Drosophila melanogaster: one gene and its partner. The protein of the gene in region 1 interacts with the protein of each later gene in a pairwise test. Each region holds a gene or a part of one and is shown in the gene's direction. Other genes may lie near its edges. The genes, in order: bap and CG8319.

Evidence for each region.
Region 2: the proteins of bap (region 1) and CG8319 interact in a two-hybrid assay, tested with the Drosophila melanogaster proteins (one large-scale study listed by BioGRID).

What each region holds. Positions count from the first base shown.
Region 1 is NT_033777.3:21,385,676-21,392,362, forward strand, and holds bap (bagpipe), read left to right. Parts: upstream 1-3,204; 5' UTR 3,205-3,339; coding exon 3,340-3,784; intron 3,785-3,905; coding exon 3,906-4,609; 3' UTR 4,610-4,774; downstream 4,775-6,687. UniProt on the Drosophila melanogaster protein: Involved in the determination of cell fates in the dorsal mesoderm.
Region 2 is NT_033777.3:9,624,233-9,630,779, forward strand, and holds CG8319 (uncharacterized protein), read left to right. Parts: upstream 1-3,088; 5' UTR 3,089-3,165; coding exon 3,166-3,677; intron 3,678-3,738; coding exon 3,739-4,378; 3' UTR 4,379-4,444; downstream 4,445-6,547. Other genes in the region: CG8312 (uncharacterized protein), read left to right, coding at 1-346; CG9427 (uncharacterized protein), read right to left, coding at 990-1,100, 1,195-1,332, 1,437-1,727, 2,003-2,104; Calr (calreticulin), read right to left, coding at 4,829-5,383, 5,476-5,948, 6,217-6,321, 6,446-6,533.

The sequences.
Region 1 (6,687 bases):
GTTATTAACCGAAAGTTGTTGTTATTAACAAAGCAGACAAATCCAAAGCATTGAAAAAAGCCTCAGAATCTCAATGCGTATTGGACGCTTTGTACTTTGTCTTCGCTTTGTACTTAACCATATCAATGTTGGCCAAGTTATTTGAGTAAAGCATCGACCCCACCCCTTGGTGCTATCACCAAACTATATTTCACTGATGACCGACACTAAATCCTCTAGTCGGAGTCCTGGCGTCACGAAGTTGTCGGTGTCCAATGGCGGTGATGAAGTGGTTTTGGGGTGTGAGCTTCTGGCGGCCTCGGATGGTGGCTTTTTGAACGAATGCCGCCAGCGCTAACTAATTACTTTATCGATGTTTTACGGTTAAATTTATCTTTCCGCGTTCTATTTTTGTTCTCCTGCTAGATAAGAATAACTAGCACATCCTATTCCCAATTCTAAGTTAACCTCAAACTTTGGAAAATATGTCCCCTTTTCGGCATCTGCATTAATCTATGAGTCAAATGATATATTCAAAAATAATGAACCTTTGTAGAATTTTGAAATTCTCCCTAAATAGTCTCCATATAAAGTCTCCGACTTAAGCAAAGACTAAAACCGCTGAAAGTGTAGACGTGTACAAGGCTCTGTTGAACAGATGTAGAGAATTTTGTTGTGTCAAATACTTATGTTTTTTATCTCATCTGGTCACACTGAGCTGCCGTTTTAAAAGCGATAAAAATTAACATAATTTCTTTAAGTGAAATTAAGCAATAAGACATTTAATTGTGTGTCTGGATAAGCAGAACTAGTATTTAGTGTTCCATATTACTACTGTAGCGTATTTATATTTTGAGCATTATAGTTGACGACAGTATCGATATTATCAAGATCGTAATAATAAAAAAGTAGGTCCTGTTTTAAGCCAACTGACTTATTAAATTAATTCATTGTTTACCAATTTTTCTGGCATACTTATTTTTAACTGCTGCTTATGTATGGTTTATGCTGATTATGTAAGGAATCATGAAATGCATGGCTCACAACCCAGTTTACAACACAGATAGTAACCAATTAACTTTAATCACGTATTTTATTTTAACACATAAATATAAAAGAAAATACATTTTATATTATAAAAATACATGAATACTAATATTGATATTATTTTCAAGAACGGAATAAGCAGCCGTACTTATGAATTTAAATATTTTCTATTTTGTGAGAGACAAAATCAATGCAAACTTAACGTAGAAAAGCACTTGTCCCCATTCAACATTAAAGTGGCACAAGGAGATCAGGTTTCCCAGCCAGATCCATGAATGGTAATGAAAAGCAGGGAAAGGCAAACATTTGAAGTGGCTTTTGATAAACCATTAAATAAAACTCAATACCACAAGGACAACAAGTCTGCAAGAATTCTGGGCGATGGGCATTCGGAAATCAAACAAGAAACTGTCGAATTTAATTGAAAATGCCAATTCATCATAGGGGTGGGATGGATTTACTCGGCCCCCTCCACTTTTATGTAATTGAATACCTGCTCCATTCGAGGGTAATCGCATCAGCAAAAGAAGCTAACAAAATTAGCGACAACACAAGCGGAGAGTCGCGTCTCTTGGGCGCGTGCGTCTGCCACAAGCATCATTATATACTAATTACTCGAGTATTATCGAAACCCATTCAGGCGAAATGGTATAACGAGTAGCAGTTCCTGCCCCGATCCATTCCAATTGCACACCGCACTTGGTCCTGAATTGGTTACTCAAATCTGACCGCAAAACACGGAACCCTCACCCACTCACCCCGCTCACTTCCATCACTTTCGCGCTGGTCTTCCATTGTTGGCTTGACTTTGCGGCGCCCGCGGCTTTAAGAGCCACTGAATTGGCAATAAAAAGATTATAGCCCGAAGGTGTGAAGTGCAGTGGAGAGCAGAAATCGCACCGAGATCCGGAATCAAAAGGCACAAAAGCCACCCCAGGCGGCGAGGCGATGAGAACGCGTGCTCGTTTCGCTCGGATTTGTTCCCAGCATCCGAACATCCCAGCATCCCACATGCCACTCGATTCGAGTGAATCAGTTGAGTGCCTTTCGGACTGAGTGGGCAGCCATGTTGCCACAGCCTCCGGGCATCCAATCAGCGCTCTTTGGGCTCCATGCCAACCAATGAGAAGAACTTACCTTGAGTACTCTTTGAGTGATCTCTGGAATATTTGCCCAGGTTAACTACTTAACCAGTTGCTTATAATGTGAACTATAGTTTCTGAAATCTCAGTCTTAGCCATTTTCGCTGGTTTGATTTAGTTATGTTCATGTTAAAAGCACTATTATTTTAGTTTCATTTGCTTAGTTAATACACATTACGGCCTGTATAAAAAATTATGAAACACTTTGCAAATAAGTGCCTAAATTTTTATCTATTTTAAAACTATAAAACCATCTGTTTTAGATTTTATTTATTAATTTAAAAGCTATGTAAGGTAAATACTTCATATGGCTTTCTTACTTTTCCACCAGCTGGCTGGATTTATTAAAATAATATTTGGTTCAGTAAAATAATTTATAGAATTTTAAGATATTAGCTGCCTAATAATTTGTCATAATGTAAGCAAGTGGCATACGTGATTATATTATGTATTGTAGTTCGAATGCTCGACTTGAAGTAGGCAGCTACGAAGAAATATTTTTGGTTAGACCCATTAAAGTATTGTTTAGTTTTTGGCTAACGATTCCAAACAATCCCATGACCCAACTAACCTACTTACACTAAAAAGTTGGAGTTTACGGTTGATTGTTTCCGAATGATTTAAATTCTAAACAAATCGTTCGTTTAAACAATGAGTTGAGATGGGAATGGGTTTAGTATGTAAACCCATTCGGAGGACTGTACCCAAAATGTGGAAGACAAAACACCGAGGAGCAGTTAGCGGGCTATAAACAATAAACAGGATGCATGCACTCCCCGCGTGTTAAGGCGCACCATACAAGTACGTGGCAGCAACCGTAGCCATTTACGACCGACTTTGTTTACGCACTTGAGAGGAAACTCAAAGGCTCTCCAGCTAGGTTTCGGATCCACCAATGGCAGGAGTCGAATGCCAGTTTCCACCCCCACGGATGCCGGCGAGCCACTTGAGTACGGCGCACATTTCCACTCCGTGAGACCGAGTGAATCTCGCCGGGGATCTCGGCTACTATTTAAAGACAGCCCGGAGCGCCCAGTTGAAGCACATTCGCTGCGCAGCCCTCGAGTCGTGAAGATCGGAAAATCAATAGAAATCCGTAGTGAACAAGTGTCGGAAAGGCCAAAGACAATACCTATATATATATATCCGAAATATTCAGAAAATTCGAAAAATGCTGAATATGGAAAGCGCGGGTGTCAGTGCTGCGATGGCGGGTCTGAGCAAATCGCTCACCACGCCCTTCTCCATCAACGATATCCTAACGCGCAGCAATCCGGAAACACGTCGCATGTCCAGCGTGGACTCCGAACCGGAACCGGAAAAGCTGAAACCCTCCTCCGATCGCGAGCGATCGATCTCCAAGTCGCCGCCACTCTGCTGCCGAGATCTCGGCCTCTACAAGCTGACCCAACCCAAGGAGATCCAACCAAGTGCCAGGCAACCCAGCAACTATCTGCAGTATTATGCGGCGGCGATGGACAACAATAACCACCATCACCAGGCAACGGGCACATCGAACTCCAGTGCCGCCGACTACATGCAGCGCAAATTGGCCTATTTTGGATCCACCCTCGCTGCTCCTTTGGACATGAGACGCTGCACCAGCAACGATTCCGGTAAGTAACCTGCACGAAATTAACGCCATTCAGGCTCTAATGGACTCTGAAAAGAACGCTACTTATTCATTGGCCTTTTGTATAGGATGTATGCTAACTTTTGGTAATTTTCCCTTTACAGACTGCGACTCACCACCGCCATTGAGCAGTTCCCCCTCGGAGTCGCCGCTATCCCACGACGGCAGTGGATTGAGCCGCAAGAAGCGGTCGCGTGCCGCCTTCAGCCACGCCCAGGTCTTCGAGTTGGAGCGCCGCTTTGCCCAACAGCGCTACTTGTCCGGTCCGGAACGCAGCGAGATGGCCAAGAGCCTGCGCCTGACGGAGACCCAGGTGAAGATCTGGTTCCAAAACCGCCGCTACAAGACCAAGCGCAAGCAGATCCAGCAGCACGAGGCCGCCCTTTTGGGTGCCAGCAAGAGGGTTCCCGTCCAAGTCTTGGTGCGAGAGGATGGCAGCACCACCTACGCTCACATGGCTGCTCCCGGTGCTGGACACGGCCTCGATCCCGCCCTGATCAACATCTACCGCCATCAGCTGCAGCTGGCCTACGGCGGACTTCCGCTGCCACAGATGCAGATGCCATTCCCGTACTTCTACCCGCAACACAAGGTGCCGCAACCCATACCGCCACCAACCCAGAGTTCCAGCTTTGTGACTGCATCCTCGGCGTCCTCATCGCCAGTTCCCATCCCCATCCCGGGTGCAGTGCGTCCCCAGCGAACGCCGTGTCCCAGTCCCAATGGCCAGATGATGAGCGTCGAGAGCGGAGCGGAGAGCGTTCACTCGGCGGCGGAGGATGTTGACGAGAATGTGGAGATCGACTAGGTTGGGAGTGACCATGTCTCGGAGGAGAACCGGGGCTACGTTTTTGTGATAGCCGTAGAAATTGTGTTTTAGCCTCTATGTGTAACCAATAGATGTCCCATAGCTTTAGTAGCATTAAGTTGTAGTCGTATCTACCCGAGAGCTAAATAAAATTATGAATTAAATAAAACTTGGTTTTTGTTTTGAGTTTTCTGCTTCACTTGAATTTCTTCACTTCATGCAGTTAAAACAATGCAGTTCGAAAAACGATAATCAACTTATCCTGGAAGAAGTACAAAGGTTTATAGTGATTTATTGTGTGTTTTATAACAATACATGTTCATATATTTCAACGAGATATATTAACTGATTCTTCTTTGAAGTCGCCTTATTATATAGTTAGCAATTGATTGGGTTTGTTTTTCCTTTTTCACAAAGGAATTTACAATTATTTACGTTAAACTATTCACGTTAAGGTTCATTTTTAATTTTAATATGTTGGCAAAGGAAACAAACCACGAAGTATCAATCTACAATAAATAGAGGTGGGATCTCATTGCTAGATTTTAAAATGTATTTAGTATTTTAAAAGAGATCTGCTTTCTGAAAAGAATACATCAAAAGGCGCTTAGCCACTAAACGATTGTTACATAAATTAATACCACATGACCTCAATTCGCATCAGCGGGCGGGAAGGCGAGAGGCTTCTCAGACCCTTCAGAATGACAGCGATCTGGCGGATGAGGGCCTCGAGATGAGATCCGCTGAAGTGGAATGCGTGTGGCCGGAGCCTTGCGAAAGCCGAAAGCCGCTGATGATGACCGACTATGACGAGCCCACTCAATGACGACATAGAAGTGCTTCAATGTGTCAGAAAGGTCGGGCCGGACGTCTGCGACCCACAAACCACTGACTTACATACGATGTTTCCCGGGCGCTTTTGCACAATATCGTCCCGGGTGGGATGGAGGAGGAGGAGGAGGAGGAGTGGGAACGGGATTGGGATCGGAATTAGGATCGGAATTGGGAACATAGACATGTCCTTAGCGGCACAGTTGGTGGCTGACGACACAAGGACCTGCCTCAAGTGCCCGGCGGCGACAATTCTAACGGCCGGCCGACCTGTTGATGTTTATAAACAAACAAACAAATAGAATCACCAACTGACGCCCAGGATCGGAAAAGGACATGTGCCCAGTGGAAATTGTCGACTGATCGACTGATCATTGCTAAACATTCACTTCAAAAGGAAACAATGTCGTTAGAAACAATGTTGCTCGTATTTCCAGAGAAACATTTTTAAATATCCCCTAAAAATGTTCACCCCTTTCACAAATAAAAATATTTAAAAAAATATGTTATATAAATAATACAATATCTGAGATTTAAGGATAGAAGGATAAATGAAACCTTTTAATTATTTTTTCAATCGGCGCCTAGCGTATGAAGCCTCGGAGTTTTTCCACATATTTTCTAAAGTGCTGAAAATTTTCGAAAGTGGGGCATTGAACGTGCTGGTCTGGTGACTGCCAACTGAAAAAACATTGGTATGAGGAGATCTCTAAGTACGTATATTGCTCTTGGACGCATTCTTAGACTAAAAGCACGCAGGCATTTGACAAATTTGGGACACTAAAATCGATTGACAGCTGTAATTACTTGGGTAAATAACAGATACAGCGGCTTGAGGATGTATCTTTTTGCCACTGTGCTCCCAAATTCTTGTCATATTTTATATTTCTGTTATAGATTTGTGTATTTATTTAAATTATTTAAATTTTCTGTTTTAAAATAAACACGAGTTACTGGTCCAAACTATATGATTTCCCTTCTACGTTCAGACACGGACTGTACCTTTAGAAAACGTAGGTGCTTCAACTTTCTATGTGGATTCTTGGGATGAAATAGTTTTAAAATGTGTTTTTAAATTCCGTTTTTGACTCATAAAGACCTAAATAAATTGAATAAATCTAAATTGCTAAAAATTTGATGTCGTGCTTTTGATTTCCATAGAAAATCGTACATTTTACTGATTATATTATTCTTTAAATTATCCACAGGCAATTAGGAAAGTGCAACGAGTGGGAAACAAGACTGAG
Region 2 (6,547 bases), about 12 Mb from region 1:
GCAGCAGCTGCGCAAGAACAGCGGCGATGCCACCAATTACAGCAGCTCGAGCAGCATCACACTGAAGCGCAGCAATTCCGGCAGCGACAAGCAGGAGAGGAGCGACCATCCGGATGACGACAACAGCGACAGCGACGAGAGCGGCTACGTGGAGTTCCAGGAGAAGGAGCGACCGGGTCAGCAGCCGCTGATCAGCGAGGCAAGCGTTACGCTGGCCAAGATTGCGACCGTCAAGCCGCAGGTACCACCAAAGCCGGCTCCACGTCGCTCGCTCAGTCTCAACGCGGTGGCCACCGGCGCCTCAGCGGGCTCATCCGCTGGTAAGGCTCCGGGCACCGCTGTCTGAGCGAAATGCTTTAATTACAACGGAAACCCGTCTACAAATTGTTATTTCTGCACACCCGTCAGCGACCATAGCAAAACACAAAGTGCAAGAAATTGAAATCCTAGTTGTAGATTAGCTATTAGCACCTAGTCGTTAAGTCATTTGTTGTTGGTTCATCGAGAGGAAAACCTAACGATATTCGCCCATCCCCCATTTTCCATCCCATCATCTAAATCTGTGCCCCTTGATCCAAAAATAATGAATTTATATTGTACGCATTTGTAAATAAATTAGTCGCCCTACGCACTGCATGTACTATATACATTTACACGATTGTCATTGATGAACTGTATCTTACTTATCAATATAAATTATTATCTGAACGGTGTGTGTGCTGCACAGAGGAAAGTGTGAACAATAACAATTGGTTAAATTATATATATATGATATCAAAATTTGATTTATGTTACATTTAGAACGAATTATAGCCCTAAAATAGAAAGAACCTAAACCAATTTTGTACTGTTTGTTCTCTGTGACCTTATTGATTCGCTTGTGATTATATCGATTCCATTCCCCCAGAGGACAGGCATTCTTGTGCGTTTATGAATTTTAATTTCATTCCAAACTTGAGGCAATTACATTGGACATTTAGCAGATCTATCTACTGGCAGATTGTGCTGCTGCTGGGCAGCAAGTTTTGTTGACGCAACATATAACAAACCGTGCCGCGGAAATCGCGCAGCGAATGGTCCTGCAGCTGCTGATCGAAGACCTGTTGCATGTGGAAACGAATACGAATGTGAATAAGAAAACCAGTTGAGTGCATTCGATTACGGCGACGATTGATCGCGGCTACTCATACTTACGCCATTGTAGACGATGGTGGGAATGAAGCTCGGGCTGTACTGTTTGGTCACCAGCTCCGCCTGCAGCTGCAATTTGGTGCCCGTCTCGCTGGACAGGCAGTGGACCACATCGGTGAGCAGGCCTGCCTCATTGGCACACTGCGTATGGAATGGTAAAGGTATATATAATGGGTACAATGCACACAATGGGCGTTAATCAGTTGGGCAAACACAGCACAACGAGTACGCGGAAGGTAGATTACCTGATCAATGCGGGAATAATCCGGAGCTAGCATCTGGCACACCACGAATTTAACCTGCGCCGCCTGGTTTGCGGTGCTGTTGATGACGCAACTCTGGAGGCGATTGCCCTTGCACTCAGCCGGTCCGTGCTGGCAGTGGAAGATGGCACCATTGCGCTCCGACTGCGATTTTCCGAAGGGCACTAAGAGTATATCAATGTAGTCCCCGAACTCCTCGTAAACGGGTCCTAGCTGATGCATGAAGTTCCTGCTGTCCGGGCACAAGGACTCGTAAAGGAGGGTGATGTGCAGCTAAAAAAGGAATTATTCAGTCGAAAGATAAAAATCATATGATGCCTTTCACCTTAACTATTAATTAGGCTTCGCATTATACCAGTAATTATTCATTTTGGGCTACTGAATAATTCTAGAATCTAGATTCAGATAAATTTACATAAAGAAAGTAGTGTTTTCTTAATCATATTACTAGTTCTAGCCGAATTTAAATAGTATAGAGAACACAGCTTAAAAGAATTTGTTCACTTAATGTAAACAAAAAAGCCAAAGGCGTTGGATTGCAATCAAACCTTGTTGGACTGGCGCTTCTCCCGTGGCTTCTCCTCGAGCTTCGCCCATCCGAGGGACAGAACGAGAAGCAGAAGGCTTGCGGTGGACGCCAACTTCGTCATCTTGTGACTAGTAATTTGAGCTTTGGTTAGCCAAATCGATCGACCTTCGACGAAGTGCGGGAATGAAGGCTTCTGTGTCCGCAGCGAATGCCAAGCCCAAGCTAACGCGACCGTCGGACTCGATTTTAGTTGAGCAACTGAGCGCCGCCGTTTTGTCACATTCGGTGCTTAATTTTGGCTAGCAGCGAACTGGGAACGGGCAGAGCTGTTTTACCACCTCTCATCGACGTTCTCGCAGGCAAGCCGGTTTCTTGACTCAGCCTGATTTCGATTTAAAAAGCTTAACTAAGCATTCATACATTTAACGGATTCGCAATACGATAATTAACACTTTTGGCTTAGTGCAAATATTGGGAAGAAGTTACTATGAAGGCTAATAAACTTTTTATTACTTGTCAATAACTATGCTATTATATTTATTGTATTATATTTATGTACTTCTTTGTTAGATAAGCATAATTTAAAGATACAGTATCTCACCTGTTTCATATTCAACTTAAGCTGCTCCTTGATTTCCTGGCATATATTTTCAAGTACCGAGTAATATGTGAAAGTCTGCCATATCAGAAGAGACAGCATAAAGGATAGTATTATATTCACACTTAGTCTGTTCATGTCTGCAATAAATATACCAACTAGTAACTACGTTTTCCATATCAAACTAATTTGCATGGCCAATTTCACGGAAGCGTTTAAAATACAATTATTTGCTTTATTTGAGTCTAAACGGTGTAGCGCGAACTATTTAAATGCAATCGATTGGCGACTGTGGCTACAGTTATCGATAGATTTTACTTTTAAAAACCGTGACTCAATGAATCTAAATTATCAACTATGAATTATAATGAATTACTATTTTCAATTTCTTGTTATTTTATTAACAACATAACTTTGCTTACCTTTCATTTATAAATACCGTGATCGAAAATTGGAGTCACTAAAGTCACGGCAGAAAAGTTCATCTCTATTAAGCCAAAGCCAAACAAAGAAGCACACAAAAGTTTATACCATAGTTTATTGTTTACCAAAAATATGACCTGTAGTTAAACAGCAGTTAAGCAATGGAGGACCTGTGTCGAATTTGTGGCGGGGCCTCGGAAAACATGCTGGGCATTTTCGACGATCAGGTGGAAGAATATGTTGATGGAGCCAAGCTCGCTGAGATGGTGAAGACATGTGCCGACGTGCAGTTGGATCCCGACGACGCTATGCCCCAAAAAATGTGCATTTCCTGTGTCCACGATGCACGAACTGCTTACGGATTCAAGCGAAGATGCGAAGAGAACTACAAGAAGTTCTATTTGGCGATATTAAATGGGCAGGTCATCAAGGACGAGCCCAACGAGGAGGATTTCCTATTCATTGAGAACCCAGACAAAGGCAATCTGGAAGCAAAGAAGAAACTCAACAAGGAAATTAAAAAGACACATCAAACAGCTTCCAGAACAACCAAGTCTTCCATAACAACCAGTAGAGCTGGCAGACAGCTAAGGAGTATAAAGAATCAGACTTTCAAATGCGAACTATGCATCAAACAGTTCAAGCGCCAAATAAACCTCCTGGACCACATGAAGTAATTACAATCAATACATATGATTTCACCTGTTCTTAAAATTGTATATCTCATTCCACAGGGTTCACAGCAATTCACACGTATGCCAAAACTGCGAAGAGCGTTTTCTGTTCAAGGCCGATCTGGATAACCACCAATGTTATCGCAATAGCAATTCCACCGTCGAGTGCCCGGAATGCTTAAAGGTCTTTTCAAGCACCCAGAGCCTGGACAGCCACAAATGCAAGGATATGCAGGAGCGTTCGCCCTTTCAGTGCCCCCACTGTCAGCAGGCCTTTACTCGCGAACAAAACCTCAAGGCGCACCTGTTGATCCACGCGGAATCGAAACAGGGAAACGGACCCCACAAATGTTCATACTGCCAAACGGGATTCTTCAACAAGTCGGCCCTCAAGGTGCACATCCATGCGCACATGGGCGAACGGCCGCATGCCTGTCCCTTCTGCGTGTCCAACTTCCGTTCCAAGCAGGCCCTTAAGGTCCACATCCGCATACACACGGGCGAGAAGCCCTACCAATGCCCCCACTGCCCCAAGACTTTTTCGGACAACAATAACCTGGCGAAGCACCGACGACGCCACTCGGATGAACGGCCCTACAAGTGTTCCATCTGCCTGCAGGACTTCCGGGAGAAACATCATCTGAAGCGGCACTTTCTGGGCAAGCATCGGGATGGAGATCAAAAGCTAAAGCTAAAGTGATACCTTAAATTCTTGACCAAATACCACGGCTTACTCGAATAAATAAATTAGGATTCGGTTATGTTTATATCTCATTGTTTCTATAGTTCATATTGGGATTTAATTGAATTTAGGATTTATATTTTCGTAGAATTCGAACAGCACTTTGAAAACCATTTGGAGTGGCAACACCGTTTTTCTGTAAATCAAAATTCGATGTAGACACGACGATATAGACAGCGTTGCCATTCGGCCGTGATTTGTTCACGTGGCACCACCATTTTGATAAACAAGCTAAACAACCCTTAAATCGCTCGAAAAGAGCAATGGAAAAAAACAACAAGTTGTATGTTTATAAATTATAAGTCTTACAAATTGTAATTGTGGTTTCCGTTTGCTTAGAACATCAAAGCAGCTACCAACACACAAAAAATACCGAATATTTCTCGACGTAATTTTCCCTAGACGTCCTTACAATTCGTCGTGTTCGCTTTGATCTTTGTCTTGCTTAGATTCATCATCCTTCTCCTCATCGTCATCATCCTCGTCCTCATCGTCCTTGTCGGAAGCCTTTTTCGCCTCCTCCTCGTCCTTCTTGCGCTGCACCTCATCCTGGGCCTCCTTCATTTTCTTCTCGCCCGCCTGGGTGTTCTTGACTTCGGCAGCAGCCTTAGCGGCCAGCTCCACGTCGTCCGTGATCAGGACGTTGTCGAAGATAGTGCCGGACTTGACCTGCCAGAGATCGAAGCCCAGGGTGCAGATCTCCTTGCGCAGATACAGCTTGTCGTCGGGCACATACTCGGGATTGGCGATCTCGGGATGCTCCCAGGCGCCCTTGTAGTTGGGGTTGTCCAGCTGCTTTGGCTGCCACTCGCCCTTGAACTCAGGGTTGTCGATCATCGGTGGCTCCCACTCGCCGTCCATCTCATCGTCCCAATCCTCAGGCTTTGTGGCATCTGGGTCGGGAATGTGCTCTGGTTTGTCCCAGTCCTCGGGCTTCTTGTCATCGGGATCGGGAATGGTGGCCTACAGAGATTTACGTTGTTGTTTAATAACAATGAGCCAAACCGGTTTTTCGATGGGCTAAAGTCTGATTTGGGCGGGGATTTACAACTTACCCTATCGTCCCAGTCTTCGGGCTTGGTGGCGGTGGGATCCTTGATCTTCTTGGGGGCCAGGAAGTCCCAGTCGTCCTCCAGGTTGCCAGACTCCACCTTCTCGTTGTCGATGAGCACCTCGTACGTGTTGTCGGGTCTGACAATCAGCGTGTAGAAGTGGGTGTACACGTCATCTTTGCAGCGGATGTCTTTGCTGATTAGGTGGTTCTTGCCCTTGTAGCTGAAGATCACATGGACCTTCTTGGTGCCGGGTCCGCAGATGTCCGGGCCGAACATGATCTCGTACGGCGACTCGCCGTGCATGTCGGTCTGGTCGAGGGAGCAGTCGAACAGCTTCACATAGCCGCCGCCGCAGTCGATATTCTGCTCGTGCTTCACGGAGAACTGCACCACGAGGGGCTTGTCCTCGTTGGAGAAGCCATCAAACTTGCGGCTGGCCGCGTAGAATCGAGCATCCTGAGAGGTCTGAATGCCTATATAATGTGTGTCCACATCAATACGAATGCGCGCCGCGCGGAGGTGGGGGGCGAGAAAAAATGTGTATACAGTTACTATAGCTACTCGAAAACGTACACGTAGTGGTTTTTCTTCTTCTTCCTCTTCTTCTTCGTGCCCATGTTCTCCGCATACACGGGCACATACAAATGCAGATAACACGCCGACGAAAAATAAAAATGGCAGAACGAGCGAAGAGAAAGATTTGGAAAAGGGAGTGACGACACATCGACACATATACGCTACCTTTGTCGGCCTCAGCATCGTTGTAGAAGGTACCGGGGGTGAGGACGAATTTTCCGAACTCCTTGCCAGGATGTTTGCTGTAGATCCACGTATCCTCCCAGTTTTCTACGGGAACAAGCGGGGGAGTGCTTTTATTATTCTTCTATTTTTATTGTCTCTCCTTTCGTTATTCATTGAAGGGGAGCGGAGGACCACATGGCGGCCATAGAACGCGATGACTACCACTTACCGTTGTCGAAATTCTCCTTCAGATAAACCTCGGCACTAATAAAGCCGACTGTCGCCAGCAACACTATCACTGTTTTGCACCACATCATGTGAACGATCCCGC